Linked DNA regions of Lepisosteus oculatus. The protein of the gene in region 4 purifies or fractionates together with the protein of the main gene of each other region. This does not show direct contact. Links are inferred from orthologs where the notes say so. Each region holds a gene or a part of one and is shown on either strand. Other genes may lie near its edges. The genes, in order: ghitm, tmem59, lrp6 and pomk.

Region 1 (6,849 bases), on a different chromosome or scaffold from region 4:
CATTTTTGTAATTTTGTTGTATATAACGTCCCTTTTCCAAAGCAAAATTAAAATGACACCTGACCAATCATTTAAACTTCCTCTTAAATGTATCAATTGCTCCCCCTTGTGGTCTAAATAGATAGTATGTGAAACAGGCAGATCAATCGTTTATTTTGAAAAATCACAAATTACCTACAACTCAAAACACTAATTTAAATATTTAACAAAGCTTGCTAAGAAAAAAAAGGTGACCACCAAAGCAGAACTTTTGCCAGGACACTGGGTGGGCTAACCTCCTTACACTAACAAATCATGACCATGTCTAATGACAAATAGTCAGGACCTTGGTTTTAATTACTCATCTGCAGGACAAAACCTACAGCACAAAGTCCCCAGTCAGCATACTGACCAGAACCAGTCTTGCTTAGCTTACCAGATCTGACGAGATCAGGCTACAAGATAGTCTGTCTGAAAAGTAATACAAATTGGATATTTTCTGAAATAATGGTGTGTTTTGAAATTAAAAGCTGCAAACGTACAGTCTGCATCATTTCCTTATTTAGCATACATATAATTACTGTGCAGTAATGTATAGAAAACAGAGCTAAAACTGAATCACTGGGATTACACAACTCTCAAAATGTACCAGCTGGATTCAACTAGTATACTAACAGGAAGGAAGTAAATCTGTAACATGGAACTAAGAGTAATACTTCCATTTAATTTTTAATTAAAATATATTGTTTTATTATGTATTTTAAATGTTTTTAAAATGTTCAACCTCATTTAAGCCTCATTGTTAACTGCAGATAGCACTGCTGTTTCAACAGTATATTTTTATCAACCTTGAACCTGACAAAGTAGTCAGAAGACATCACATTTAGTTCATGAATCAATCAATGTAAGAGACCAAACCAAGTATGTACTGTTCATAAAATGAACCCAATCTTATTTACCACATAGAAACGTTAAACAACAGTGTGTCTTATATGTGTAAAAAGCTTTCAAAGAAATTCAAAACACTCATGAGTAAGTATAACTTAGGAAAACAAAACTGTAAATACAGTACTTTTAACTGCAGTTTCTGTTGCAGGCTCAAAGGCTGCCTCTTTGAGTTGCTCTTTTGCAGACTTGCTGCGCCGGAACCCAAATCGAGCTTTGGTGGCATATTCCTGGTAAGGAGAAATAGGCAAAATTAAGTAAACTTCACACCTTTTATTTGTGCACATCAGTATGTTCACCTTATAGCCAAGCCCCCCAAAAGGAAAATAAATAATACAGCACTAACAGACATAAATGTCAAGGAAATCTTATCCACAAGACTGAATCACTGGGATTCATCAGGGATGCAGAAACAGACTGTCAAAGTATCAGATGATAATAAAATGGTTTATTCTATGCAGTACTTCTAACAACATGTAACATCCCAAACTGGGGTATACACCATGTAAGATCTCAGAGGTTAACTGCAAATTATACCAATATCGTTGACAAAAATTATAACCACAACCGTTGACAAAAAGAATGTCTCCACGGCCGAAACATTGTGTTTTCTTTCTTCTCTTTTCAGCATGGAATAAACCTTATTTACATATTACTTGTTCCTTTACAACCAAATACATTGCGCAGCCTTGTGGAGCACTAGCTAAGCTCTGGACTACTGGACAGGACATCCAGGAGGATGGGGATTAAAATTCATGGTGGGGGGGCACTGGGGCTCTCCCCTCGAACAAGATGCTTCAGTTCGACTGCTTCACTAAAATACCCAGTGGTACGAATGGATAAAGATGTACATCTCTTTGGAGAAATGCAGCAGCCAAATGAACCATTCAAGATCTCCTGTCAACAAAGATCATTACTGCTGGAAGGAAAAACTGCGAAGTACAGCTGGGTGGGTTATGGTCTCACCTTGCAGGGCTGGAGGAAGGATTGACTTGGCTTCAGGCTTGGAGTCCTCAGCGTATTAGTCGTGTGGGTAAGAGCTGAGCGAAGCCCTGCTGCCGGTAAAACGCGCAGACATGCCAGCCTCGCCACCAGCATTGTTTTATTCTTCCCTGGAAAAGTGGTAACGCAAAATCCAGTGAACCTGGATCTCACACACACACATCACGTATCGTGACACAACCGGACACTGCATAAAGAGCTTTGTGCCGCAGGACTTCATGATGAATATAAAGATTCTCACAGCGATGGACAATCCCATCCAAGGTGAATCCTTTTTTTTTTTGCTCACCCTTTGTTTTAAAGGTAACGACATTTTTATCCTAGTCATTTTGCTCTTTGAACCAAATTTGATTTTTTTAAATGTAAACAGTAGAAATTCTTTGTTAAAATCGAAAGAAAATACAGAAGCCGACGGAAACTACCAGAAATTACCGAACGTACCGGTACGGTCTAAAACGTACCATGGTACTGTACCTCGTAACTAAAGAGCCGCGCACCTCTACCACTTAGGCCAGATTCTTATATTTGCCTTGCACTATATCAACATATAAGTAAAAACAGTTTATTGCATCTTAAGGATTATGTGATAATTATCTATCAAAATTATTTCATAATCCATAATGCTACTGAACATTATTTTTCCGTCTCAGCCTAAACACTAAGTAAACCAATGACACTCCCGAGGATTTCTGAATACCAGACTTATAGTTTAAAATAGCTTGAATTACAACTATTATTCTTACCTAGCAAAAAGTAAAAAGACACCTTAAACTTCTAGATTACTGGGTTACATAACTAAAACTAAGGTTACGTCTCGATTGATGTTCCAAGAAAATATAAAAATGTTTGAATCATTAGTCTACCTTGCTTTGCAGTCAGAATCACAATACCTTTTGCTAACAAAGCTGAAAGTAATGTTCACCTCCACAAAGTATAACGCTGTTTTCGTCTCTTCAATATTACGGCTCTTCTCACCTTTAATGCGCACCAAAATACCACACTGATGTAATCAGCAGCAACCTTCCTGAAAGTTCTTACTGATTGCGTCATCAAACAGCGTCGGTCTCGCTTTGGATTCTGGGAGTTGGCGTGTTTAGGCTTTAAGGTTCTTTTTATTATACTAGGATCCTAAAGCCTGTTCTGGTTGATTATATAACAAAATACAAATAAGTAAAAGACGTGAATTGTATAAATTATCCGTGCCAGTTTATTGTGTTTATTGCACTTTTTCAATGAAACCAAATCGCATTGTTGACAACAAACACAAGATGGCAGTGTTATTTCCTGCATTGTACATTAAGCCAAACCGTGAAAAAATGAAAATGAACTGGTTTGATGTAAATAGCTTAATATGTAGCTCGTAAACCAATTGTACAATAAAGTCGAATGCAAGGGGGGGATTTCATACTGGAAGATTCATACTTTCATTCCTGGGTGAAGATGCAGCAATTCGTATCTCAATAGACGCCCATTCTTGTCTTATTTTTACATTAAAAGCATAGAACGAGAGCATCCTCATAACAGTGTCATTACTATAAGCAAAATACTACAGACGCTACTTTAACAACTTGTACATTTTATATTGTTGATGCGACCATCCACTGAAACAAAAACAGTATCAGATGATAGTTCATTTTCTTGAATGAAACTATGTTCCTACCCTGCAGATGTGAAAATGTAAATTTTACTTTAAATAATTCAGACCGTCAAAAGACGATGTTCTAGGCCGATACAGGTTATTAAAACATAAATATTCTTACTCCAGACGCGGAACATCAGTAACGAAAGACAATATCGGTTTGGAAAAACGTTTGTGTTCCGTAAAATCGAAATAAAAAAAAACAATAGTTTCCAGAAGGAGAACGCGAACCATCTTCTTTGTATATATTGCAAAGAATACATCGGTTATTCCATTTCATAGTGAATTTCAATTGTAAATTGCAATCCTGCAGGTAAATGTCATAAGGAACTGAATACAGTACGTACGATAACTTTAGTTCTAGTGTAGGTATTTTACTCCCAACGTAAATTCCCCACTGTCATTGGCTCTTTGCTCTTTGTCCAGATACAAACTCTGTGGAACTCAAACCTGGCCACGTTCACATCTCTGCAGGCAGGAGGCTTAAAACCTCTTAGGTGTTTGCATTTCTTTAAAAGTGGGATTTTGTTTAAAAAAAGGCAAAGGTGGGTTTAAACCGTCTTGTGGGCCATGAAAGGCCAGCACAAGACCCGACCTATAACAGTTCATTCATTCAACAGTGGGATCCTTGTTTAGAAATTCAAATTACCGGGAGGGACGGTGCGGTCACGTGGCTCGGTGTCTGAGGAGAGCCCGGTTTCGGAGTTCAGCTGAGCATTTGTTGGAGGACGAGAGTTCGCTCAAACGTGGTCTTCAGTGTATGACTTCAATCTTGATAGACTGGGGAGTAAAGAGACTATTTTAAACTGATTTGCCCTATGTGTTCCTTACAACGCCTTTAAACATATCTGTGGCGCATCAGCCAACATCTAAATCAGGATTTGGGAAAAAAAAAACTTTGGTGAGGGTTTGATTTCTTGGTTACTCTTTCCCACTGTGGAGTTTGCTCTGTAATCGCTGCAGTGAAAATGCAGCGCTCCTTCTAATGGACGTGGAAACAATTCTTCTGATAGAATAACGGAAATTGGTGTCCGCACACACAGAGGTTCAGCTTTTTTCGGAAATACAGGAAAATGAGGGATGCAACGGCGCACGTAGTCTTCTGCACCAATATCTTAAATTACTCTACAGAGTGTGGTCGTGTAAGTATTTGAAACTTTTACCGTGTCCTTCATTTAGCATCAGCGTTAGGCAAAGGTTTGTGCAACAGCATGTTGTTACGGTATGTGACTACACGTTAGTAGGATTGAAAGCATTTATGCTTGTCTTAATGTTACTGTAAATGATACTATTACCACTTCTATATTTGTCGCAGAATAAATTGATATGGCAACGTATGAGAGGAAGTCTATGACTTTGACAAGTTTTCAGTACCTAATACAAGGCAGGAAAGACGACAAGGTATGTACTTTAAAGTGGGCAGGAGTGAGGCTTATAGCTCCGTTAATAACTAAACTTTTTAATTGCTAAAACTTTATGGTGTAGAAAAATAGAAAACCTTCTTTTTAATAATGTAAAGAAGACTTCAAGCTGACCACACGTGCCTGAGACCCAGATCACAGCCCGATTGGGTGTCGGGAGATGCTGAGCCGAAAGAGAGACCAGAGATTAAAAATGGATGAACCCGGTGTACAGTCGGTGACGAAACTGTCTGCGTTATAGGCTCTGAGATGTTCCAAACCGCGAGTGTGTGATGCAGTGTGATGGGTTGGTTATTTAAAAAAAAAAACTAATCCGCGAACACGAAAGCTTGCCTTTTTAAAAGCCGCTGATATTGAGTTTCTGTGCGGTTAAGCATCAGGTCGTATTAACAGTGCACTGCTGTGCTAGGGTTCTCACAGCTTGCAAGGTAGCACATATTGCACATCACCATATTTTGCTATAGCACTGTGTGCTTCATGTACATTATATGCAGTTTGTTGAGTTTCATTGGTATTCGGATTTAGTTTTTTTTTTCGGATTGATATTACACTTCCAACTTCGGTGAGCGGTTTTTCAGCGGTCTTTGCAGAATTATTTTTATAAAACAATTATATTAAAAAAGTGAATGAATTAATAACTTATTAAAAAAAACAGTTGCAGTACTGTATAACCCTTCTCCCTTGTCTGAATTACAAGTCAGAACCGTATGAAGTTTCACTCCATTGGTATTCGGTGACTAATTCTTAAATACCAACCGGCGTGGGCTACTTTTAGGTTTATTCTTGTTTAAACACATAGTTGGCGTTGTTACAAAAGAGCTCTTAGTTCCTGCGGTGTAAGAAATTAGGCATGAATATAGTAGCATTTTTTATTCCTGCTTGCTAGCAAAATAATGGATACAAAAAATATCTTAATTTTGGCCCGTCTTATCTTGGGTAATAATAACAAAAGTATAACGGTTGAGACAAGGTTAAAGAAATTTCGAAAGCCAAAGAGTGATTCTTTTGTGGTTTTGTAGCTTTATAACATTGGGCAACTGCTCAGACCGGTTTCACCCTGTTTGGCTTCCCAGTACCAGCTCCATATATACCCCTGCCGCAACCACCAAGGCGGTGCCGCTGATTGCTGTCCGTGGGGGTGGATGTACTAAAGAACAGTGGGGACTCGTGGGTTCAAAATGATACGCTTTTAAGCTTTGCCAGACGCTAAACATGTTTGAATTTGGCTAGTATCAGCTTGGGTTTCGGACTTTCAAACAACTCTGAAGAGGAGAATGAATAATTATAAGCACCACTTCTTGGACAAAGGCGGAGAGGGCAATGTTTTTTTACACTTAAGATTCTACTTAATTTATTTTTTGGCTGTAAGATAAAGACATTGGGGAGCAAAGATACACCTTTTGATTGTTGCTATTGACTATAATGCATTTCACACCGCTCTCCTTAAGGGTGGACATCTTCATCCTCAATCCTTTCCTTCTTGGCTCGTCTTTCCTCAGAGGTGTTACTAGACACAATGTGCCCGTGGGGGTTCGCGTCCTGTAATCAGAATTGCCGGTGCTGCTGAATAGATGTTAATGCGGGAAGGTGGCCTATGCAAGTGATAATGTAGCAATTGAACAGGGAAAAAAAATGCGAATCTTACGCATCCAACTTGAAGGGTTTTATCAGGATAAGGAAAAATGCGCTCTTCAGTTCAAGAGAAAGGAAGACACTGTACAGAGTGGGCTGTGAAACCACGTTTTTGAAGTAGATACCTTTAAGTTAAAACGGGATGAGCTACAGTACTTAACATAGCTATTAATAACCAAATGTTTAGTTAACGGGGGGGGGCTTTTGCTGTAATTTCACCATCCTGTTTTC
Region 2 (7,848 bases), on a different chromosome or scaffold from region 4:
ACCTCCAGCATTTGGATCAGCTCAGCTATCACGTCAGCCACTTGGGAGTTCCCATAAAGAATATGGTACCAGAACTGCACAAAGTATGAAAAGGAAAACCTCTCAGGGAAAAAAAAAAGACATTAAAGACTCACAAGAGCTCTTTGCCAGAGTGGGTTCCCTCAGGTCATCATTCTGTGGTTCAAACTCAGGAATAAACTGGATCTGAGGCTCAGACTGAAACAAGAGGAAAAGTGAAACATGCTCAGTTCATAAAAAATCCTGAAACCCAAAACCTTCTTCAAGCTTTGGTGCCATCAGCAATCTTTCATTTGAGTAAAAATCTCTTTTCCTTCTCATAAAGCCCTGTGTTAATTATGTTCTTCTCCTACTACATTTTCATAACTTTACAAAGTTCTCCATATGTTGAGAATTAAAAGAAATGTATCGCTACTATATGTTGTTTTTAGAACAATAAAGTATAAGGATCTTGGACACTTACTAAACATTTTGATCAATTGATCATTTTCGCATAGTCACAAAATAAAGTTTTGGCGTTGACATTTAACCTACTGAACGTCTATCCTGCTGAAAATAAAATAAAAAAATCTTGTTCTGTCTCAACTGTTCTGGGGGATATCAGCAACTGTGGAACAGGCACGCTGGTCGATACGCTAAATGCCATGTCCAAAAGATGTGGAGGGTCAAGTGAGGCAGTCTGGACAGGTGTGTCCAGTCACTGCGGTTGTCTAACTGTAGGACACTGTAACTGAGGATAACCAGCTGCATGGTGTTACACTGACTATGTCCTGGGACCTCATCCTGACATGACAATATTTCAGCAGGACAACACACGTCCTCACGCTGCTCCTTTAAGAAGGGCTTTCATGCGAGACGAGATTGTGACAGTTCTACAGGAGATGTCCAAGTCGCCAGACCTGAGCTACGCTGAATGTCCGAGGAACGGGCTGGGTCTACTTGCGGCACTAAGGGCTCAGAAGATGAACAGGCACGTGTTTGTCCCGACAAGGACAGAGAAGGTATGAGACAGGATCTGCAACCTGGTGCAAAGCAAGAAGGTGTTGCAGTACTCTACTATCATGAGACTTTCACAGCAGAACCCCCCTTATTGTTAATGACAAAAGCTGAAGAGCGCGACGCATTGATCTCTGGGATGCCTGCGCCACAAAACATCAATGTACCTCATAACAAGGAAAGATTAATTTTCCTAATAACATCATTAAACGGTCGCTAAGTTTCTTTCGAAGCCTGCAAAGCAAAATCCATATGTGGTCTGGACTGCAAGTCACACGGTGATGTACCTGAAATATGACCACCTTCCCATTGTCAGCCTGGAGGTAGAAGGTCCAGGTTGAAGTGATGAAGTTGTGGGCAGAACTCATCATCTCATTCCAGAACCCCCTCACCAGGGCCAGGGGGTACAGGAGGTGAATCTTGGGCACCATCGCCATCAGCTGGAGGAGGAAGAGGGCAAGGGGTTAAGCAGCGCCAGGAAACAGGAAGGCGCGCCATGACACCTGCTTGTCCTATTCGATCGCACGGAAACGTCCACAAGCCCTCTCTCTCTCCAGGGAGCACTGCTAAGCGAGGTGATCACCTGCAGCAGGATCGCGTGTTCTGAAAGTCACACCGCTGAATCAACACGGGCCGCCGTTACCTGCCCGGCGTGTTACGCCCTATACAAACATGACCCAAGTCTGGTTTGCTATAAACTGCCACCTTCTGGACATTTAGAAGTGGGTGGTTTACATTTGGTTACCTAAAACAAACTCAAGTGGGAGGGGAAGACAGCTGCCCCCCCCAAGAACAGGACAAAGGTTCTCCAGTCTCCTAGTGAACTTCATTGCTTTTCAAGCCTGCAGATAATGAAATTCCTGTCTAAGGGTCTCAGGTCCAGCCCAGCAACAACACGCCACTACGTGACCTTACCTGCTCCTGTCTCTGCTCAGCAAAGGGCAGCTGACTCTGACAGCCCAGGCTGCAGGCATACTGCTCATCAGACTGGCTGTAGGCCTCACGGCAGGCTGGGAGAGAACAGGATATGCAAAATGTTACAGACAGACGGAGAATGTACAGCACTAGACGCATGCAAAGTGCAGTCTGCACAAAGCATGACATAAAGGCAATCAAACAGCGTCACCTCCCTCTTCAGAAACATTGTATGATTTTCTTTGATCCCGTTAGTGATTCCACTGGCGACGGGAACACTTTCATTGCGGGGACTTGCATTGCATGAAAATGAAAATCTGCGTGACTCAAATCACGGCAGCACTGCTTGCTGAACTCCTGAGGGGAACTTTCCCCCCCGACGTGTATGAAAGGAATTGTGAGTTGTGACTCCGCAAAGGAAAGTGAAGCGCCCCACAGATGAATTCTGCAAGGACAGGCTCACCCGAGTCGCACTCCGACTTGGTTTGGTTCAGATCCTCTCCGTCGCTCACGAACTGGCAAATTGAAAACAGCCGGCAGCCCCTCTGGCAGGCGTACAGCTCTTCCTCCTACAAGCCACAAGGCAGTTCGCATACACAGAAAATAAAGCGCACTTTAGACATAATCCTCTCCACTCCCGGATCACGACGGTAAAGTGACACTGCAGGTAACGTGATCAGCGCGCATATTGTCAAGGTAATCGGGCAAACAAGATCAATACATATGTATCTTATGGAGGAAAAAAACCCAGCAACTACTGCACCAACGCTACCGACAGACCTAGTGTCGCTAACTCTCCTCAGACCTGTGTTTACAAACGAGCCCGGAGCTCTCACCCGAGGGTAAGTGTGCAGACTGTAGGTCATCTGGCAGGAATTATGGCAGGAAGCCGTGTTCCCCAGGACTCCATCAAATATGTCGGAAGAGGCTGCTGTGCACAGCAGCAAACAGCAGAAACTCAAAACACACCCGCATAACCTCCACACCTCCATCTTTATTTTTGTTATGAAAAACAAACACCAGTCGCAGCGGCAGAACAGCGTCTTCTTCCTCGTTCTTCTACTCCGCGGTAACTATCGCGAGAGTTGGGGGGGGGGAGAAACGAGAGAGAAAAACACACACACGTCTGTGACACTGCGAACGTGAATCCATCACCGGTGGCCATTTTGGCTCAAATACTCTATGAGTGAGATAGTGACACAGGATTTCATACAAGATCCAAAATGGCGGTGATCTAATTTACTGGGTCGTAAGTGAAAATAATGAAAATTTACGAGATCTAGAGTGTGGCTTCGTCTAAATCGATGTAGTATAGTAAGTGCCGAGTTTATTTACAGATACACGCAGAGTAACGTACATCTTTTGTTCGTTTTTGAAGAGGCTTTTTATTCTTTTCATTTTTATAATGCCGACATTGTACTAGCATCATCGCCTTGCAAAACTGTGCATTCGCTTTTTATTTCTGGATAGGGCAATGTGCCTATTAATAAGTATATTTTTAAATTATTCTTCATGAAAAGAAAATTAAACAGTTATTTGTAATCCGGGCTACCTATTTAAGTTTCAGGGACTGTTGAATGTTTTAACAAATGATATATCCAGTCCGCTACAGCTACTAGCTTAATGCCATCAGTCCAACACTTTTTGAGAATTAGAAATCTGTTTTGTTAAGAAGAGAAAGGGATTAGTGAAATGGACAAGTTTGTGATAAAGCTTCCAAGTGGCGAAACCAGAAAACAAACGAAAACCCAAGGAAAAGTATACAGGCAGGCAACGATAGAGTCGCTAAGGGTAAGTAAATGAAGCTCTTGGTTACTTTCTGTTTTCTTTTGACACCGGTGCAACTTGACTCTTATCTAAAAGGCTGGGTGGTTCAGTGTAACTCATCTGTCTGTATTAAAAAATAAGCTTTATGCTGTACCCAAGGTTGAAATGATTATTTCTTAAGACTCCAATGGCCAACTTATTTGTCTATATTCTATATTCAAGACATTTCAAGACAGGACAGATGTTCTTTGGAAACAGATGAAAAAAAAACTTTTTTACTCATTTAAGCCTTGCTTTCACGACACAAGAGCTTCTTTTCAGTCATTTATTTGTACCATGCAGCTGAACCTACTCCAATATCCATATTTGTATATATTGTTGCGTGTGGTAATCACATAAATGATAAAGATTACAGATCATCTAATTTAATCACAAACTCTAGATCCATATGATTTATTGACTAATTTAAATTCGCTAACCTTAACAAAAAGGCAGTATAATATGTATCAGATATGTTTGGCACTCAGGTACTGCTAAAGCACAGCAGGAAGAAAACCTGTTTCAGAACCTGTATCCTAATGCTGTTGCCGCAGTGCGTGAGAGCTAGGAGGGCCCAGTCTAACTGAGAACATGCCATTTGATGTGGCCGCAGAGAGTCGTGGTGATCGAAGACATCGAGAGGTTTAAGGCGATGCTGGAACTGCCCCAGCAGACAAAGGAGAACCTGTTACTGGCCTTGACAGAGCTCAACAAGAAGATCCCCTCAAAAGAAGTGCTGCAGTCAACCAAAATTGGTGAGAAGTTCAGTGGCTCATTCCTCAGTTCCCACTCATAAAATTATGACAAAGTTTATAACCGAGGGGCCATTTGGATAGGTAGTAGCTAATTGATCTGAAGATTTCACTCAGCTGTTTCTTAAAAGAAGCCAGGGCACTGGTTTTGCCAACATGGCTGAGTAGCTCGTTCCACACTCCCACCACCCTTTGTGTAAAGAAGTGCCTCCTGTTCTCCATTTTCCACACTAGCCTATAGTTTCCACTTGTGCTCTCGGGTACTCATTCATGCGTTGTTGACGCTTTCTCTGCTGTTACCCAGCAGCCTCTTGGTCAGTATTGCACTTGTCCACCCAAGGGAATCACTGCAGTGTACAGGAACAAGTAAAGGTTAATTCCAGTCTGAAAGGTGGATCGAATAAACTTCCCCAGCTCCTTAGCAACCAACTCAAGCTGACACACCTTCCTGTTTCAGTCATTGCAATGTCAATGTGAGTATGGTGTCCAAGATAATCCAAACGCAAAGCAACACAGGTTTCCTGGGACTAAATTCTCCCTCCACTGCTGTATTCTACTCTGGTATTGTTGAATTTGTACAGGTTCTTGCTGTGGCTAGCTTAAGTTTATTGCACCTCCTGTCTGAACAACCTGAACCGAAAGGCACATAAATTAACGTCTTGCGTTCTCTTGTTTCAAAGCTGCAAGAGGAAAAGCGTCCTCTCAGTTGTCACCACAGCAGCATAACGGCACCTCCTTTGTCGCCTCTGAATAACAGAACCTGAGTCGAATTGCTTGCACAATGGGTTTCTCGTTAAGTTTTTTGGGGAAAAAAAGTGAGTTCCGTTCACATTTGAACGCGTTGCGCGCAGTGGGCTGGGATGGTCGCCCTCGAGTGTTGATCTTGAAACCTGGGCTCCCCAGGCCACACCGTGAACAGAACGCGGAGGCACCCGGACCCCGAGGTGTCCGCGCTGGCCCGCGCCGTGTACGCGCAGTGGAAGACCTTCATCGAGGAGAATGCCAACAAGCCCTCCATAGAGGTGCGCTGCGACGCCCAGTCGGAGGGGCTGAGGAGCACCGCGCGGAAACTGCTGGCCGAATCCATGGGCCTGGAGGTAACCCCCTTCCGCCCGTCTGAACCCCCGCAGAGCAGCAAGTTCAGGGCCAGAGCAGTGGGTCAGCTTTGTGTCGTTGCTGGCATCCGTTCCGCAGAGCTTACAATCGTGGTGGTGGTCTCGACCAGTAGGGGCTCTTACCTGAGCGCAACCTGGGCCCGCCACCTCTACTTTGTTCTATCAAAGAAAGGAAGACTCAGACACACTCTCTTCTCTGACCGGGAATCGAACCCGGGCCGTGGTGGTGGGAAGAGTGGCCGAATCCTAACCCCCTAGGCCACCAGGGAAGGCGGTGAGCACAAGCTGGGTTTCGGGTCCGAACCCGGGTCAGGTCACGAGCTGTGGCTGGGGATCCCCAAGCAATGGTCCAGATGCGAGCAAGGGTAGGGTGGGATTAGAAAGCCAAGGCTCTCCTGGCTCTCAGTGACATAGCGCCCCCCTGTGGCTGCCCCGGCACCTGCAGGCAGGTGGCGCTGTCTGGGATGGATGCGGGCCTCTGCTGCAGTTAGTCCCGAACCTCTTGAGGTTTTGAAAAAACAGGTGGCTCCAAGGTGGCTGTGCGAGAGAGCTCCTGCACTTCCTCATCCTCATTCCAACTGTCTTGCCCATTTGCAGATTTGTCCAGCTGCCCATTTTCTAACTGCATCTGCCAATTAAAGATTACAGGGGAGCCTGAGCCTATCCCAGCAAGCAATGGGTGCAAGGCAGGATACACCCTGGACAGGATGCTAGTGCACTCATGCTAGGGCCGGTTTTCCCAGAAGCCAGTTAACCTACCAGCATGCCTTTGGACTGTGGGCGTAAACCGGAGCACCTGGGGGAAACCCACGTGAACACGGGGAGAACGTGCAAACTCCACGCAGATAGCGTCAGTGGTTGTGGAATTGAACCCGGGGCCCCAAAGCCGCGAGGTAGCAGTGAACATTAATTAGAACGTCAATCTAATGATCACGTCTGGCCATTTCTGAAAGATTCCAGGGTGCTGCAATAGAATGGATGAGCATTTTGCTCCAAAACCTGACGAATATTCGTATAATGAAGTACCTCTTGATTTCGTTCCTGTTGCCATCTGCGGTTTGTAATATAGAAATTAACGGTCGGTGCAAGTTTAGGACGTTTCTGATGTAGAAAAGGCACTAAAGCCTTCATCTGTCATTATCCATCCTTTATTAGTCCGAGCAAAACTGTCTAAGGTCATTTCATTGCGTATTAATTGGAAGCCACTCCAAAGCCAAGTGGATGACTGATATACAGTACAAACCACAGGGTGTTGGTCGTTTTTAATGACTCGTCCTCACACCCGTGCGATCCAAAGCCAGACGGTTTTCCTGCCCGTTTCTGCACGAGGAAACGCCCCAGATGTGCAGAGCTCAGCCTTCCTCTCCCTCGTCCTTTCCGGTCTTCCTCTCTCCCAGGCGGACCACGGCCTGGTGGACAACGCGGAGCGGGAGGTGTTCCACCAGAGCTCGCGGCTGGCGGGCGGGGCGTACCGGCGCACCGTGAGGGCGCTGGTGTTCGCCCTGAAGCACAAGCCGGAGCTGCGCGAGCAGGTCAGGGGCGGCGTGCTGCCGGTCGACCAGTTTGTCAAGGCTCACAAGAAATAACCTCGCCAGCGCCGGGGCCAAGGAGGCTTCTGGGAAGTCCCTTCTGGTAAAGGAGGACTGTAGATCGATCACCAGGCATCTGGATCTATTTTACCCCAGTACTGTATGAAATAGTGATGTGGCAGCTTTTTAATCTTTTCTTTTATAATAAATGGCATCAATAAATGAATATTAAACAATCTCCCCCATGTGTTTTCCACGTGCTGCATGTTTTATGACATTGAGTGCTGAAAACCATAAATGTCGGCAAAAGGATTAGATACGCTTTTAAAGTGTCTGCAATTATAAGTTTAAAGCTTTCAATCTTGCAATGCAAGAGGTGGGCGTCGTAGCAATGTTGACCTCCCGAATGAGATTGAAGTGCCGCTGTGGGATTAGCCACTAGGTGGCGCTATTTCCCACGCAAATGAGCGACAAAGACTTCAGGTTTGACAAATGGAAACACAGATCACGTGTACGTCTTAGTTTCCGTTTTACTTCATGCAATGTAACAATTTTTAACGTCTGCCGGACATGCATAGTCTTGTATAATTAGGAATGGTCAGCTGGAAGTTGGAGGAAAGACTGCCCGAAACCCATGCCCCAGTGAATAGAGTCATTGAAGAACATGAGAGGAGGATATTTTGCCTATTTGTTAGTAGCTAATTGATCCTAGAACCC
Region 3 (7,071 bases), on a different chromosome or scaffold from region 4:
TCTCTGCTCAACTACCCACCTTGTAAAGCTTAACTAGGGCCACAGTATTTGCAAAAAGCTGGACGAATATTTCCAGAGAAGGAAAACTCCCGTTAGGAACACCTTGAATTTATTTAATAACACTTTGATAACTTCAGCACAATCACACAGGGGGTTATTAATTAGAATGTTTCATCAATGTTGCTCATTGTACCCGCTGGGGCCTTGTCTGGAATTAAGATGGTGTTGACTGATCTTGAAATCCACAAATCCACAGTTCCTACATGAAAGCTTCAGTTTACAGGCTTCTCTTCCTTGTAAATAACATACGGCAATATGGCCACCAGATGGAAGATTCCCCTTACACTGGTTCCAGCTTCCACTTAATAAATGTGACAAAAGTATCGACACGCATAGAGAGAGAAGTCACACTGATAAGATGTTACAAAAGGCTACACTAAAGCATGAAAAGTCCTAGCAGAAATTACAACCACTGGCCCCCAGACTGCGCTGGAAGATTCAGAGGAATGTAATGTGTGAGTTTGTTGTTTGCAAAGCTCCACTTATGACACTACATTGATGTTATCTGCTGGGGGAAAAAAAAAAAACACTGGATTTTTTCTCTTCTCGAAGCGAAAGGAATGCTGGTAACATGCAGAGGCTGTTACACAAAGAGCAAGGTAAGGAACAGTCCACTTGTCATTCCTTGCAAATAATGGAGAAAGAAAATGCGCCACAGAATGCCAACAGTGTCACAGCTTCATTTATGGCAAAACGGTAATATCTGCTAATAACTTCAATGATGGCAAGGCTAGACGCCACAAGAAATAACTAGAAAGAAAACAACTCTTAAAATTAAAGATGGAGGCAACATGGTTGCCTCCACCGCAGACCGACCATCTGCTACTTCAATTTACACCAACAAATACTTCCCAGACCGATTTCTGAGGCCTCCTTCTGCAGTGCCCACACTGCAGCGACGGGCAGAGCTCTCTCTAATTTGTTAGAAGTTTATGATCAGAATTTCAATTGTTTTAAATGAGACCCAATGGCCACAAAGTGGGCAATCTCATAACTACATGCCTTTGGCAGCATAATGGATTGTTAAGCCAACGATGTGAACTAGGCACAAATAAAAGCCTTAAAAAGATCAACCCCGACAGACACCAAATTAACACTCCAGGAGATGTTTTTTTTTTTTTCCTGCAGGCTCCCACTGCGGGTGAAAGTCATCCCTATCCTGGACGTATAGGGCGTGAAACAGAACTACATTGAGGATAGGATGCCAGTACATCTTGGGGCACATGCACACAGCAGCAGCTTAAAGACAATGCTGCCAGCGGGTCTCTGGAGGGTGGGAGGAAACCACAGCACCTGGTGAAGGCTCGCACCAACACAGGGAGAACATGCAAACTCCACACACACACACACACACACACACACACACTGCCCCAGTCCAGACTTAAAATCTGGAACCATGGACTGTGAGAGGAAGCAGCTATAAGTGACACCTATAGATTAAATAAAAAAAAAATACACTTCTGATGTACACTAAAGCAAATGTCTGCAAAACACGAAGGTGTTTGATAAGGCTTATTTGTAAGAGTGGTCAGTTTAAACGTGTTAGTAATAGGAAATTGTCAGTAACTTTAAATCAGTTTGAAATAAAAAGCTGAAATAGTCCCGTCCTGTGATTACCTTTACTGTATACATTTTAACTAAAACTTTCCACATCAACTATCCGCAATTACGCAAACGTTTTGTGAAAACAAAGCTGTACAAGATGTATGTTTTCTTATCTGTCTGCACGTACTGAAAGACGTGACTAAATCTACACCGTATGTCACATTTATTGACATTTATCTGACCAAGTTCAACCCCCTTGGAAATCACGCACAGCGTGCAATGAAACAATTAAAATCCAGTGTAGGTTAATTGAGGGGGTCCATCTCCTACACCCCATTTTCCAAACTTTGACCACAAATGATTTTCGAGTTGAGTGGATGTTTGCAACACAACAAATTCAACAAATGAGTGTTTTAAACCTGCATACAAGCTGTACCATACAAGCCACGGAAGCTTGTTTTGTGTAGCACAAATCTCCGCCGATCTAGTCCAGCCAAGTTCGGTTAGTCATTCAAACTTTGTGCTGAAATAAGTTAAAACAAAGCTATGCGAGCATCTTCCCTCGGCCAGAAGTGTGCATATTGTCTGCTTGTTCTGATTTCTTTACATTTCAGAATCCATTTTCAACTCCGAAACAGATTTACTGCTAAAACAAACGCGTGTGAATGAAGGCGACAGAGACCGTTTAAGACAAGGCAGGAAAACGTTTGCCAAAAAAAAAAACATTGCAGTGGAGCAAAACGCTCTTGTATCTTCTTTGAGGGAAAAAAATAAAAGGGGTACCTTTTCAAAATACAACACAGAACAATCAACATTCACGGCATTACATCGAATTCAAATAGAGAGCGTGGAAAGGACAGAGATATAGCAGCACATATCTGGGATATCCACATCCCATTCACCACACACTCCCATATACTCATAGATCGGATACTACTACGAGCAAGGTACCCTATACGCAGGGCCCCACTCATTTGCACGCAAGGCCTTGTGCAAAAAAATGGCCACTTCTCAAAAGGCTTTTCCCAACTTTCCAGAGAGCAAAACCCACCCGCGCCACAAACTCACCTCGTATCACAGAACAGAAACTACACAACAGGAGACTCCGTAGCACGGCGCCCATCTTTCTCCCTCTCGCTTGCCCCCGCGGCGGCCGCTCAGCGCGGAGCTCTCATGCCCGTGTCTCGCCGCTGCCTCGGAATGGTCGGGTGCGGAGAGCGCTGCTGAGACCGAGCTGGCTGCGATGCTGCTATATCATTATTCTCCGCTCCATTCCGCTCCTGCTTCAGGCTCTGCAGCGCTGCGATTCCAAACCCCTCATTCTGCTGCCCGGGCGCAACAACACGTTGGATTTCAATTCGTCTCCTTCCGCCACGGGAGAAAAATGCTAACCCTCCCCCCCCCCCGCATGCACGCACACACACACACGCACGCACACCACCACCTTTTTCCCTTCTTTCCCTCCGTTTTTTTCTTTAAAACACACTCGACTCGCGGCTATTGTTGTAGGCACTGCCAGGTACTCCGCACAGGCAGCGGAGTTTCTCAAAGCAGAAATAACCAGAGAGACTGTAGCAGCGGCTCTGTATTTTTTGTGGAAAAGAGAAAATGCGGGCTTCTACAACAATTGTTCAGGAGCGCAGAAACACATTCCAGAGGGACTAGTTTCTCACGCCGTGATTGGTGCTTCGGTTTAGAACAACATACCCCTGTGACCCTGCTTGTGCTGCTGGATCTTATTTTTCTGTGTTGGGGAACGGAGTGGGTTTGCAGACAGTCGGCAAGAGGTTTTGTTGTAGTGATTTGCGTTGTCGTTTCTAAAAATAAAGAGTTTCTGAAACTGATTTTTATTTTTTCCCCCCCAAAGGTTATGTCTGAAAATTAATCCATCATCTGTTATACATCACAGAGTTTTGAATGTTGCTGGTTACAAACGAACAGGCCATTCACCCCATGTCGCTCCTTTGGGTGCTAGTCGTCGCTAATTGATTCAAGGTGCTTACTCTGACGTTTCTGGAGGGAAACCGGGGTATCTGTTTCAACAGCATAACTGGGTGGCTTGTTCCAGACTTCCACAAACGTTCAAGTAAATAAGTACCTCCTGTTCTCCAATGATAAATCGCTTAGTCTCCGCGTGAAGCCAGCTAGGAAAAAAGTAGCTAGAATAACAAGTACACAAAAGTTTCACCTACTTGTTGATATTTTTGTAAGATGATATACGGTATGTACTTTCTATCAGACTGGAAGGATGGTTATGTTTAACTAATTTTTTAACACACAAAGGCTGTGTTAAACCAGTCTGTGAGACAGAATATTTAGATAAGGAGTTTCACTTACAGTCTGTAGGAGATTGGGGACGTAAAATCAATAATCTTTTACCTTACGTGTACAATATATGGCACCATAGAGAGTGTTTCTTGTCTACTTGTCTACTTTTTGGATATACTCAGCCTTTGTCTTCTGCTGTTCCACTCCCGACAAACTACACTATGTTAAAACCAGTGAAGATGACTGTTTCCCAGAAGTTAAAGTAAAGCATTAAAATCTCAGCAGATCCTGTTTTCAATACAAGTATCTGTAATATGAGTACGTAGAGTCTGTGAATGAGTCAGTTCAATAGTAATCTGTCTCAGGTTTAGATGAGTGCTTTGATTGTGGATCTCAGATAGAATCTTCACCTGAATAACTCGACAGAACGGCATGGTTGCAAAAGAGCAAAAATCAAGCTCACAGTAATAATTAGGATAACTGAGACTTTGTTCACAAATAACAAAAAATCATAAATATTTTTAAATCATATTCTGCTACATAACACAAAAATCCTGTCTTAAGAAAAATACTTTATAGTTGTTCTCTTTCACCATTTTGTTTATTCTTAATATTCTAAAAAGAGAGAATTCACAAGCTTATTTCATCAGCACGGTAGGTTTTCTTTCAGTTCAGTTTGAAATGATAAACTATACATACAGTATGTGTTAACATTTGAAGGTCCTTCCATTTTAGATGATTCTGTGCGCAAACATGCTGGTCAAGCCAGTTGCACAGTAAATGTACAGAAAGTAAGTCTCCACCTGCATTGCTGCACTGTACTGTACGTCATTAAAGCAAAATAGGCTGCAAAATACTGCAGTGTACAGTGTTATACCTATAGTTTCTGGATCTGCGTAACAGACAGGATATGAAATTGACAACATTCAACTAAGGACAGATTTTGGAACTTTTCAACTGTTAAAAGCAGAAGGTCAAAGACATTATGCCTAAGTAAGTGTGATATACTGTACATAATGTGCTTGAACGTAGTGCCAGTAAAGAAGCTTTGGGCAGTAGTTGTGATTAAAGATGTACAGATTTTCCCAAATACCTTCTGAGAACTGTGTCGGATTTGTGTTGTAAATCCAAAATCAAAGGGATACGTTATATAGAAATGATTGAAACGGAATAGTATTGCTGACTCCGATGGTTTCTGGAGCATTTCATTCATTTTAATACTAGCACTTAAGGACAGCTTGTGTGGAAAGGTTTTCACTTGTATGAATTACCCAGGGAAAGAAGGCATCCGATAAAGTTATTACAAGTATACAATAAGCCTGGCTGTCTTTTTCTGTAGCCTGTCCTCAAATGATTTAGTGAGATTTTCCTGTGTGAGAAAAACTACATAGTGTCAGCTGGAAAAATGACATTTTTATTTCCACATTTTAGCACTATTTATACCTTTTGTCATTTTTTCATTCAATCAAAATAAACCACAATGTGCCTTAACACAAAAACATATGAACAGATGCAATAACACCGGAAGAAGCTTAGGAAGGAACCCTTTAAATGCAGGATCTTTCAAAGAGTCTCTTTCGTTGGGTAATTTGTTTCAGTGTTACATATTATAAACCACCAGAAAAGAAACAAAAATGCAAGGACTTGGAAGGTCATTGAATGAAAATATTCATCCAACACTCATCTTAAACCTCATTGTATTGTCTTTTCCTCTATGTACTTTGCATTTACGTTTGTCATAATACAACAGTTCTCTAGAACCCATTAGAAAGGCTGCAGTCTGCACTGTGATGCAATAAACCCATCCATCCATTTTCTAATCACTTTATCCAATTCAAGGAATTGGCACAAGGCAGGATACACCCTGAATGGGATGCCAGCCCATCACAGGGCAGACACAGACACAAACACACACTCACACCTGGGCCAATTTTCCCAGAAACCAGTTAACCAACCAGTATGTCTCTGGACTGTTGGAGGAAACTGGAGCAGCTGGACCAAACAAACATGAACACAGCGAGAACCTACAAACTCCACACAGATAGCACCCCAGGTCTGGAATTGAACCCAGAGCCCCACCGCTGTGAGGCAGAAATGCTGGCAAATTGCATCACCATGCAGCTCAATAAAATATTGATAATAAAAATACAACTATTACATTTTCAACTGATCACATATCGAAGGCTTCAGCGGGAAGAAGGAGGTCTTTAAGTGAATTTCTGAAGAAGGTTTTTATGGGAGCTTTATAAATGACAGCAGTTGCAAAGTCTCTAATGGATCTGGGCAGTCAGTTAAACAGCAAGCAAGAAGGCTCAGTTGCCATGTCTTTAGCAGAGTAAGAACTCCCTGGACTATACTCACGCAATAGGTCCCTAATATAACTTGAAGCTTGGCCATACCATTTTTGAAAATGGGAGCCAGAGCGATTTTAAGAGGACGGAAGTTATGTGCTAATGCAAGGTACTTTTAATTAACACATGAGCTGCATGATTCTGGACATACAGTACTTAAGCCTGTTTAGTACCTTAGCACATACCAAGTCCAGCAGGTAAGGCATTAAAGCAGTCTAAACTGGATTAAATAAAGGCATGTATCAAATTTTCAGCATCAGAACAAGGCAGACCAAGGGTCTTATCAAAGCAATGTTTGACATGCAGAAAAAGACATGCTTATAATGTTCCTTACATGCACTTCAAATAACAATGCAGGATCAAAAGTAACATTGAGGTTTTTAACCCTCATCAAGGGTCTTATTTTAGTCCTATCAACATCACTGAATTGATCAGCTTTGAGATGTTGGGAGTTTATGAGTTTATTAACCTCAGCCTTGTCTCAGTTTCTGGGAAACATATTTTAATACCCGGCAGACACTTTAGAACTATAGCAGTAGTATTTGATTTGTTGTGCAAGTAAATCTGATCTTAATCAGCAGTGCCATCTGAATCCATTATATAATCTGACAAGAGGCAACATGTAAACCCTATAAAAGACCCAGCACAGAAGTCTTTATGGATTGTTTCCTGGTTTTCAAACAGGATCCAACATGAGGAGACCCAGTGATCCATAGAACATTTTCCCAGACGTACAGCAGGATATCATGATTGTATCAGGATGCTATGATTATCTGCCCTTAAATTAATAAGGAGAATATTAAACGAATCAGAAGCCATCAGCCAATCATTTACTACCTCAACCAGG
Region 4 (7,745 bases):
ATACATCAACGGCTTCGAACAGGTGATGTCTGCCTTTGCCTGTGCTGTCACACGGTGATCATGGGGCCTTTACAAAATCAAGGGGCTCAAGGACAGAATTATTGCTTAGCAAACATGTAACCACTGTCCTACGTAACTGAAGCACGGCAGTACTCTGTACACGACTGAACTTTGACATTTCATTTTTAACTCGAAAGAAAATCTTCCTTGAGAAAAGACCTCAAAAAGGCAATAAAAGTTAATAAATCATTCCAGAAAAGGCTGAATGGAGGTCCTTAGTTTCAAACTCTTGTAATTACACAATTTTACTTGGGTCTCTAATTACGGTAGTCAGAACGTGTGTAAGATATACTGAATTAAATTATCACAAATATAACTGCTTCAGTCATTTTGTTTTGTTTTTCCTTAACTTACAAACTACTATAGATGTATATTCACTCAGGCTGATGTAAAACCTGCAATTCTCAGTATTTGAACAAAGACACTCATCCCTGCTTCACTCAAACCACAAAGAAGAAAAAGTTCTAATTACTCTTACTAGCTAAGCTATTTAGTAAAGCTATTTATCAAGCTAGTTTTTTTTCCTAGTTTTGACTCGAACCATTAAGATGCTAAAATTAAGAACATTGTATTTCATAGCTTTCCTGCCCCAACCCCTTATTATGAACTAATTTCTTTTACATTTTAATCCTGTGTTAAAACTGAAGAGCACATCATCGAGTCTCTTTCTACAGACACCCAGGTTAATCAATATTAAAGACTCAAACTACTCTATGCATCGGTTTTGTGCACGTTGTCAAAAAACAAAACTGAGCTAAAAAGGAGAAGCACACAAGAGGGCACAGTGAGTGAACCCCAGCTTGTGGGAGGGCCTCGGGCCCTACTCATTAAGAGAACAGGAAGCAGAGAACAGTGGCTCGTTCCTTGGGAAAAGAAAGGGAAGTGTCACCTGCTTGACCGCCCCTTGGCTGATCATCTTGAGCTTCCGCACTTCCTTGAGCACAGCCTCGCACTGAAGCCATGGCGAGCAGTTCCTCATGGCCCCTATCCTGAAGTGGCCAGGAGGGCAGTCCCCGTACAGGTGCTCATGCAGGTTGCTGCCCTGGTATAGTGAGTCCAGGTAGAGGTAGATGAGGACGTTGGCACACAGCAGAGCGCCAAGACAGATGAGCACCGCTGGCACCCCCCCATGAGAGCCGCCACCCTTGACCATGGTTTCATCTTCCTGTGCTGGAGGCCGAAACCTGCAGAGACATTCCACCACGTCAGCTACACTATGCATTTCGACGGCAGCAGCTGGAAGTCCTGCTTGTCTGTTGGATCACATTAACTAGGCCATCCTATCCATCTCAGATCAACACACCTGACAAAACTAAGGGAAGCTTGCCCTGTGGTCTTGCAGGTCCTAATGCCCCAGTATAGTGACGAGGACACTATACTGTAAAAATGGCGCCATCCTTTGCATGAGACGTAAAACCGAGGTCCTCTATGTGGTCTCTGTGGTCATTTAAAATCCCAGAGTAGTGATGTTACCCCAGTGTTCTAGCCAAATATCCCTCTGGTCTTTACCAATCATGGCCTCCTAATGATCCCCATCTATGAACTGGCTTCATCACTCTGTTCTCCTATCCACTGATAGCTGATGTGTGGTGAGAGTACTGGAGCACTATGGCTGCTGTCACATTATCCAGGTGGGTGCTGCACATCGGTGGTGGAGCCCAAATCACCCGTATAGCGCTTGAAGTGTCCAGAAAAGCACAAGTGTAAGGATATTATTATTGTGAGATTATTATAAAACTGACCAAAACACAGAGCTACTCCTGTAAAATTCTTGCAGTGCTCTACTGACATGCTTAAAACACTATGAAATTGATTTTGGCACCCAGTGACCCTTCCTGAATGCATTTCTTCTTTTAATTCACAGTCATTCCAATCAACTAATTCTGTGTCAAAAAGATATGGTGTCTCAAAGAACAAAAGTAATGCTTTCCCTCCTGAATATTTGATTTTGAATACCTCAATACATGAGTGGCTAAAGTAAAAATCATTTTAGGAAGATCTGGTTAAAGTCACTTTACAAGAAGTAAATTAATTTAAAAGCCTGTGTTCAATGATATAGCATTAATACGTTTTAACATTGTTACAATATCTTATTCTCCATTGTACCTTCAGGGCCATTTTTTAAGAGTGAAAGAATGATACCTCAGTCAAAATACTCAGTAAACTCTGAATATCAGTGGTTTTCTTTTAAAAAAGAAGATTAAATGTGAGAACTCTGGAATAATAATCTTGACTGACATGAAATGATCCCAATTCCTTTGGCCTGCTGTGTTTGCCTGATATTCACGATATAAATCGTGCAAACGTTAGTTGATTTAATTGTTAGAACAAGTGTCAGCAACTGGAGATAACATATTAATCCGATTCTCTCTTTCGTTCTTTAAATACAGGGATCTACCGCTTTTGGGTGATTACGCATATTATTATGAAAAAACGTACCTTTTACAGTTCAGAACGTTTTACGATACTATTAAACTAACACATTGTCAATCGAGATTAAAATGAAAAGCCAAATGTTTTAATTTCCACACCTGTGAAAGCATATTGAAGATGCGTAGCATATTACTAGACATTTAAGGCTGACACTGGGTGATTTACAGTGCCTGCAACTGAAATAAAAAGAAATCATTCAAAATTGTGTTCACATGAAGGGCGTACCCGTTTCCCTGAATTCTGTTCCCCCACAAAAACATTACAGAGCATAAGACACAGAAGACGTGCGATGCGAGTGGTTCTGATTTAGCACCGAAAATATGACAGCTTTATTTACACTGTGGTCAAAGAAACAAAAAAAATGTAATTAATTTGTTTTGAAAATTAAAAACATGTACATTTACTTACTTTCATGTAACTCAACGATCCTTGTCTTATAATGCTCTTTGTCTAATCCTTATCAAACAACGCTGCTACACTTTAAAATATCACCTTACTCACAACCTTACAACACCTACTACCCTCTCAACCGGATGCATTAGCCGGAAAAAAAAAAAGGAAAGCGGAAAATACAGCCTCCCCAGATTCGTTTCATCGCCATCTACTGGACATTTCAAGACTAAACCACTCAACTTCTTAAATCCTATCGCTGTTAATAAATTCATTCATTCAAGGATTTCATTCTAAATTTTATTTTTAAATAATCATCCGTATATACACATTTTTGAGATAATGACATACTTGTGTTGAGTAGTTTTATCATAGTTTTACCAGTGAGCCATTTTACCACAAATATTGTTACTCCTTTTTACTGTGGAAAAAAAAAACAGTTAATATTAATTATACAGTGTAAATTATATTTCCTGAATGCCCAATATAGATGACTTTCATTCCCTTGTGGGTAATATCGTTTACCAAAGTAGAGTAACTGTTTGTATAGTTTTACTGTAACTGTAGCTACTAATACATTTACAGTAGTTTAACAGACCTTTCCCTTTCATAATCACTATTTTAATTACTCCAGTTCAAATCATGTATTTTTTTAGGTGAATCAGTTCCAATCAGGTATTATATCACTTTACTGTAGCATATTTACTGTAGATGTATGCAGTAGATTAATTTACATTTTTTTAAAATTTCTGGCTGTATTTAAGCTGTATTCAGTGTGGTAAGGAGGAACAAATTAATATTAATTGCTATAAATGTAGATGTTCTGGGGACTATGGTTTCTATTTTCTAACATACCTATTACATAATATTTTTATAGTTATTGGAAGTGGCAATGGAGGTGTCTAGGGGCAATGTTTAACACCTGGCTAATGAACACTTGCGGTTCTAGGAATCTTCAAAGTGAGAAAGGAGCTGAAGTGTTTACTTAGTTGTGCTGGGTGTGAGACATATTGAACAAAGGAGTTATCTAGTTTACATTGGTTAACTTAGTTCTGGGTAAATGATTCAGCGTTCAATAGTTGGTGAATGCCGGATAAAAACAGGTAGGGTCAGGCTTTAAAAATCCCAGAACATTTCTTGAAAACAGGAGGGGTATTAACCATGTGTCTTGGCCAAATCCTCCCATCCCCGGCCTTTACCAATCACAGCATCTTAATAATCTCCATCTATGAACTGGCTTCATCACTCCGTTCTCCTCTCCACTGATAGCTGCTGTGCAGCGAGCAGATGGGCACACTTTGGCTGATGTCGCATCGTCCAGGTGGGTGCTGCACATTGTTGGTGGTGGTGGGGAGTCCCCATTACATGTACAATTTTAATTATTATAACTTCTTCTTCCTCTCACTGGATATTTTTCAGCAGTATCTTGTAAATCCAGATCTACTGGATCTACTTTACTTGAAGCACCTTACGAAGGATGTGTGCAGTGCCCATTCGTGTGATCTTCTGCACTTTGCCTGCTGATGGATGGCCTGGAAGCAACAAAAGGTTATTATCAAATCCCTTTTTTGAGTGTCCCTAATGACTGGCACAACTCTCGTCTCCACATTCCACATCCTGCTGATCTCAATTTGCAAGTGCTTGTATTTACTCCGTTTCTCCATTTCTTTCATCATGATGTTCGAGTCGTCTGGAATGCCTATATTGTTCAGTAGGCATGTTTTCTCTTTCTTGTCATGCTGCACAATGTCAGGACGGTTTGCTATTATGATTATTATAATGAATGTCTGTAAGTCAGACTCCCCCCTAAAAGGATGTACATATCACTGCACTACTTCCATAAGCCTAGCTGTGATCTGTGCAATCTGTATCAAAATCTTCCTTGGTGTCTGTGTGTGTACCCTTACTCCTTTTGCAGTCCTCGCAAAAAGAAAATCCATCCACCTATCATGTGGTTTGGATAGTTTCAGAATGGAAAAGCACAAGCCAGAAACTCACTCTCTCATCAGCAGGGTCCTCTTGTCGGCACGCCCGTCTCCATTTGGTGGTTTGAACCAAATCTTTGAGCTGACGTTCCCATTAAATGCGACCGAGAATACTCCAACCGGCGGGTTGCTCCGCTTGCTGTCGGGGAGAGAGGAGAACAAAGTAATGTAGCCAATTCATAGAGGGGGATTATTAGGAGGCATAGGAAATTTGGCTAGGACGCCGGGGTTACACCCCTACTCTTTTTGAGAAACACCCTGGGATTTTTAATGACCACAGAGAGTCAGGACCTCAGTTTTACGTCTCGTCCAAAAGATGGCACTTGTTTTCAGTATAGTGTCCCCGTCACTGTACTGGGGCATTAGGACCCACATGGACCACAGGGTGAGCGCCCCCTGCTGGCCTCACTAACACCTCTGCCAGCAGCAACCTTAGTTTTTCCCAGGAGATCTCCCATCCAGGTACTGACAAGGCTCACACCTGCTTAGCTTCAGTGGGCTGCCAATTGTAAGTTGCAGGGTGACATGGGTGCTGCTGGAAGAGGTGTTAGTGGGGCCAGCAGGGGGCGCTCACCCTGTGGTCCACGTGGGTCCTAATGCCCCAGTGTAGTGACAGGGACACTATACTGTAAACAGGTGCCGTCCTTCGGATGAGACGTAAAACCGAGGTCCTGACTCTCTGTGGTCATTAAAAATCCCAGGGCGTTTCTCGAAAAGAGTAGGGGTGTAACCCCGGCGTCCTGGCCAAATTTCCCATTGGCCTTAACCAATCATGGCCTCCTAATAATCCCCATCTATGAATTGGCTTCATTACTCTCTGCTCTCCTCCCCACTAATAGCTGATGTGTGGTGAGCGTTCTGGCGCACTATGGCTGCCGTCGCATCATCCAGGTGGATGCTGCACATTGGTGGTGGTGGAGGGGAGACCCCATTACCTGTAAAGCGCTTTGAGTGGAGTGTCCAGAAAAGCGCTATATAAGTGTAAGCAATTATTATTATTATTATTATTATGGGTGCTGACAAGCCAGAAACTCACTACTTGTACAATAATAAGGACCTTGAACAGGTAATCTACAGTAGTTGTCTTGGATGTTCATCTTGCAGTGAAGCCTGGGAGTGAGAATGCACTCAATTGCACACACATATAGAAGGATTTCAATGCAGATTATTAAACAAGAGGGTGAGATCTGGATTATTTGAAGGGTCAGAATGTGTTAGGTCTTGTGGTGGAAGATGAGACTGTTACTATGACATGACTCCACAGGATTCCCAACAGCTGTCCAGTTCTTCTCATCAAGACCCCTGCCCTTTGTCCCTTGGGCCTACCTGAAAGATGATGGATTGAATCCTGGGTGTAACCACTCATGTCTGAATTGTGCTGTTATAGTATAGAAGGGGACAATTCACATACAGTATGCCACATTGTTGCTGCAGTCACTGTTATGTGAGCACACTATGTTTAGTTTGTACTCACAACATTGTTGTACTAATGTTTTGTATACCATGTTACAGCAAAAATGAGTCTTAACAGTGGGGAGTCATTTTGTGGGAGTTCTGTGATGTAGTGAATAAAGGGCAGACATGTGCCAAACAAGTCTGCTGCCCCTCTCTGCCTATCTGCAGCATAGCTCTTAATGTAAATCTCCAAGACTCCCAGTGGTCCAGTTCCTCTATATCAAAGGACTTTCTGATGTTGTGAGCTTGCATGCTGCTTGTCAGGGCTGTGAAGGTTGGGCTTTGGGACTCGCCTCAGAGAAGCCGATCAAGTCCCAGGTTCATCTGCGCACTCCGTACAGAACAACGGTGTGTCTAGACTGGTCCACAAGATGGTTAGATAACCCTCCATCTGTTGTTGAAGTATTGTTGACTATTGTTATAAGGTGGCAGATGCCTTGTAAAACCATTGCATTGATCTCCTAAAGCAGGTTGTGCAGAAGTAATTTGCCATGGATTACATTACACCATCTGGCATAGGAGCATTCAAAAATCCACTTCACATGGGCGAGCCAAAAGTGATCCCCCCAGCTCTAGTCATACTATTTTTTTGCTGTTGAATTCCTGTCCCTATTCTTCTTCCTTAGACAGGACAGTCACTGTGAAATTATGCTGTATACTGTAACACAATAGGGGTTCAGGCAGGCGCCCACACCCCACACCATCAGGGGCTTGAACCCAGGACTCCTGCGTCACTCAGCAGGGACCCAGCCCGGTGAGCCAAAGAGAGATCTCCCTACAGCCCGGTAGCTGTAGTCCTGCTATCACAGGGAAGGGCGGTGACGTCACCGCTCTGGTAAGCCGGCTCTTACACACCCTGATAGCCGTATGCATTACACTCTCTCCCGCTTAACTCGCCATCCCCGGCAAAGGGCTATCCCACCCCGCTCCTGACACCAATGTAATGCAACAGGGGTTGAGGCTGGCACCCTTACCAGATTAGGTCAGCCCCACACCAACAGTGGCTCGAACCCAGGACTCCCACATCACTCAGCAGGGACACAGCCCAGTAAGCCAAAGAGAGATCTCAGCCCAGGGGCTGTAGTCTTGCTATCACAGGGAAGGGCGACAACGTCACTGCTCTGGTAAGCCGGCTCTTACACACCCTGATGCCCGTATGCGTTACAATACTCTTCACAGATGGTGAAACACAAAGGCAAATGTGTAAATAAACCAGCAACCAGTTTCATTACTTGCAACTGAAACCTTTTGACAGAGTGCAAAGCAATCACTTCACGAATGGGTTTTTAAAAAACCTGTTCTACAGGTCCCACCCCAATGACTTGCACATTCTACATTGTCCAATCTCTAGTCACCAGTCGGACACTAAACTAAATGGTGCTTTAGATGACATGAATACTGCTCCATGGCAGTAGAAATGAC

What was found.
Region 1: the proteins of pomk (region 4) and ghitm purify together in Homo sapiens (affinity purification with mass spectrometry; 3 studies listed by BioGRID and IntAct, counting the BioPlex papers as one, with this or other methods). This does not show direct contact. The link is inferred for Lepisosteus oculatus from reciprocal best matches to the Homo sapiens genes POMK and GHITM.
Region 2: the proteins of pomk (region 4) and tmem59 purify together in Homo sapiens (affinity purification with mass spectrometry; 3 studies listed by BioGRID and IntAct, with this or other methods). This does not show direct contact. The link is inferred for Lepisosteus oculatus from reciprocal best matches to the Homo sapiens genes POMK and TMEM59.
Region 3: the proteins of pomk (region 4) and lrp6 purify together in Homo sapiens (affinity purification with mass spectrometry; 3 studies listed by BioGRID and IntAct, counting the BioPlex papers as one, with this or other methods). This does not show direct contact. The link is inferred for Lepisosteus oculatus from reciprocal best matches to the Homo sapiens genes POMK and LRP6.

The regions. Positions count from the first base shown.
Region 1 is NC_090699.1:20,138,321-20,145,169, reverse strand, and holds the start of ghitm (growth hormone-inducible transmembrane protein), read right to left. Parts: upstream 3,002-6,849; 5' UTR 2,902-3,001; exon of another isoform or gene 2,790-2,901; intron 2,037-2,789; 5' UTR 2,023-2,036; coding exon 1,891-2,022; intron 1,155-1,890; coding exon 1,052-1,154; intron 1-1,051. UniProt on the Homo sapiens protein: Plays an important role in maintenance of mitochondrial morphology and in mediating either calcium or potassium/proton antiport. Mediates proton-dependent calcium efflux from mitochondrion.
Region 2 is NC_090704.1:4,518,978-4,526,825, reverse strand, and holds the start of tmem59 (transmembrane protein 59), read right to left. Parts: upstream 3,008-7,848; 5' UTR 2,922-3,007; coding exon 2,766-2,921; intron 2,499-2,765; coding exon 2,393-2,498; intron 2,025-2,392; coding exon 1,930-2,024; intron 1,455-1,929; coding exon 1,302-1,454; intron 217-1,301; coding exon 135-216; intron 1-134. Other genes in the region: tceanc2 (transcription elongation factor A N-terminal and central domain-containing protein 2), read left to right, coding at 3,622-3,720, 4,349-4,490, 5,391-5,584, 7,000-7,188.
Region 3 is NC_090702.1:26,705,965-26,713,035, reverse strand, and holds the start of lrp6 (low-density lipoprotein receptor-related protein 6), read right to left. Parts: upstream 3,001-7,071; 5' UTR 2,729-3,000; coding exon 2,674-2,728; intron 1-2,673. UniProt on the Homo sapiens protein: Component of the Wnt-Fzd-LRP5-LRP6 complex that triggers beta-catenin signaling through inducing aggregation of receptor-ligand complexes into ribosome-sized signalosomes.
Region 4 is NC_090696.1:60,174,953-60,182,697, forward strand, and holds the start of pomk (protein O-mannose kinase), read right to left. Parts: upstream 3,021-7,745; 5' UTR 2,902-3,020; intron 1,245-2,901; 5' UTR 1,214-1,244; coding exon 950-1,213; intron 1-949. Other genes in the region: glutathione S-transferase P-like, read left to right, coding at 4,407-4,431. UniProt on the Homo sapiens protein: Protein O-mannose kinase that specifically mediates phosphorylation at the 6-position of an O-mannose of the trisaccharide (N-acetylgalactosamine (GalNAc)-beta-1,3-N-acetylglucosamine (GlcNAc)-beta-1,4-mannose) to generate phosphorylated O-mannosyl trisaccharide (N-acetylgalactosamine-beta-1,3-N-acetylglucosamine-beta-1,4-(phosphate-6-)mannose).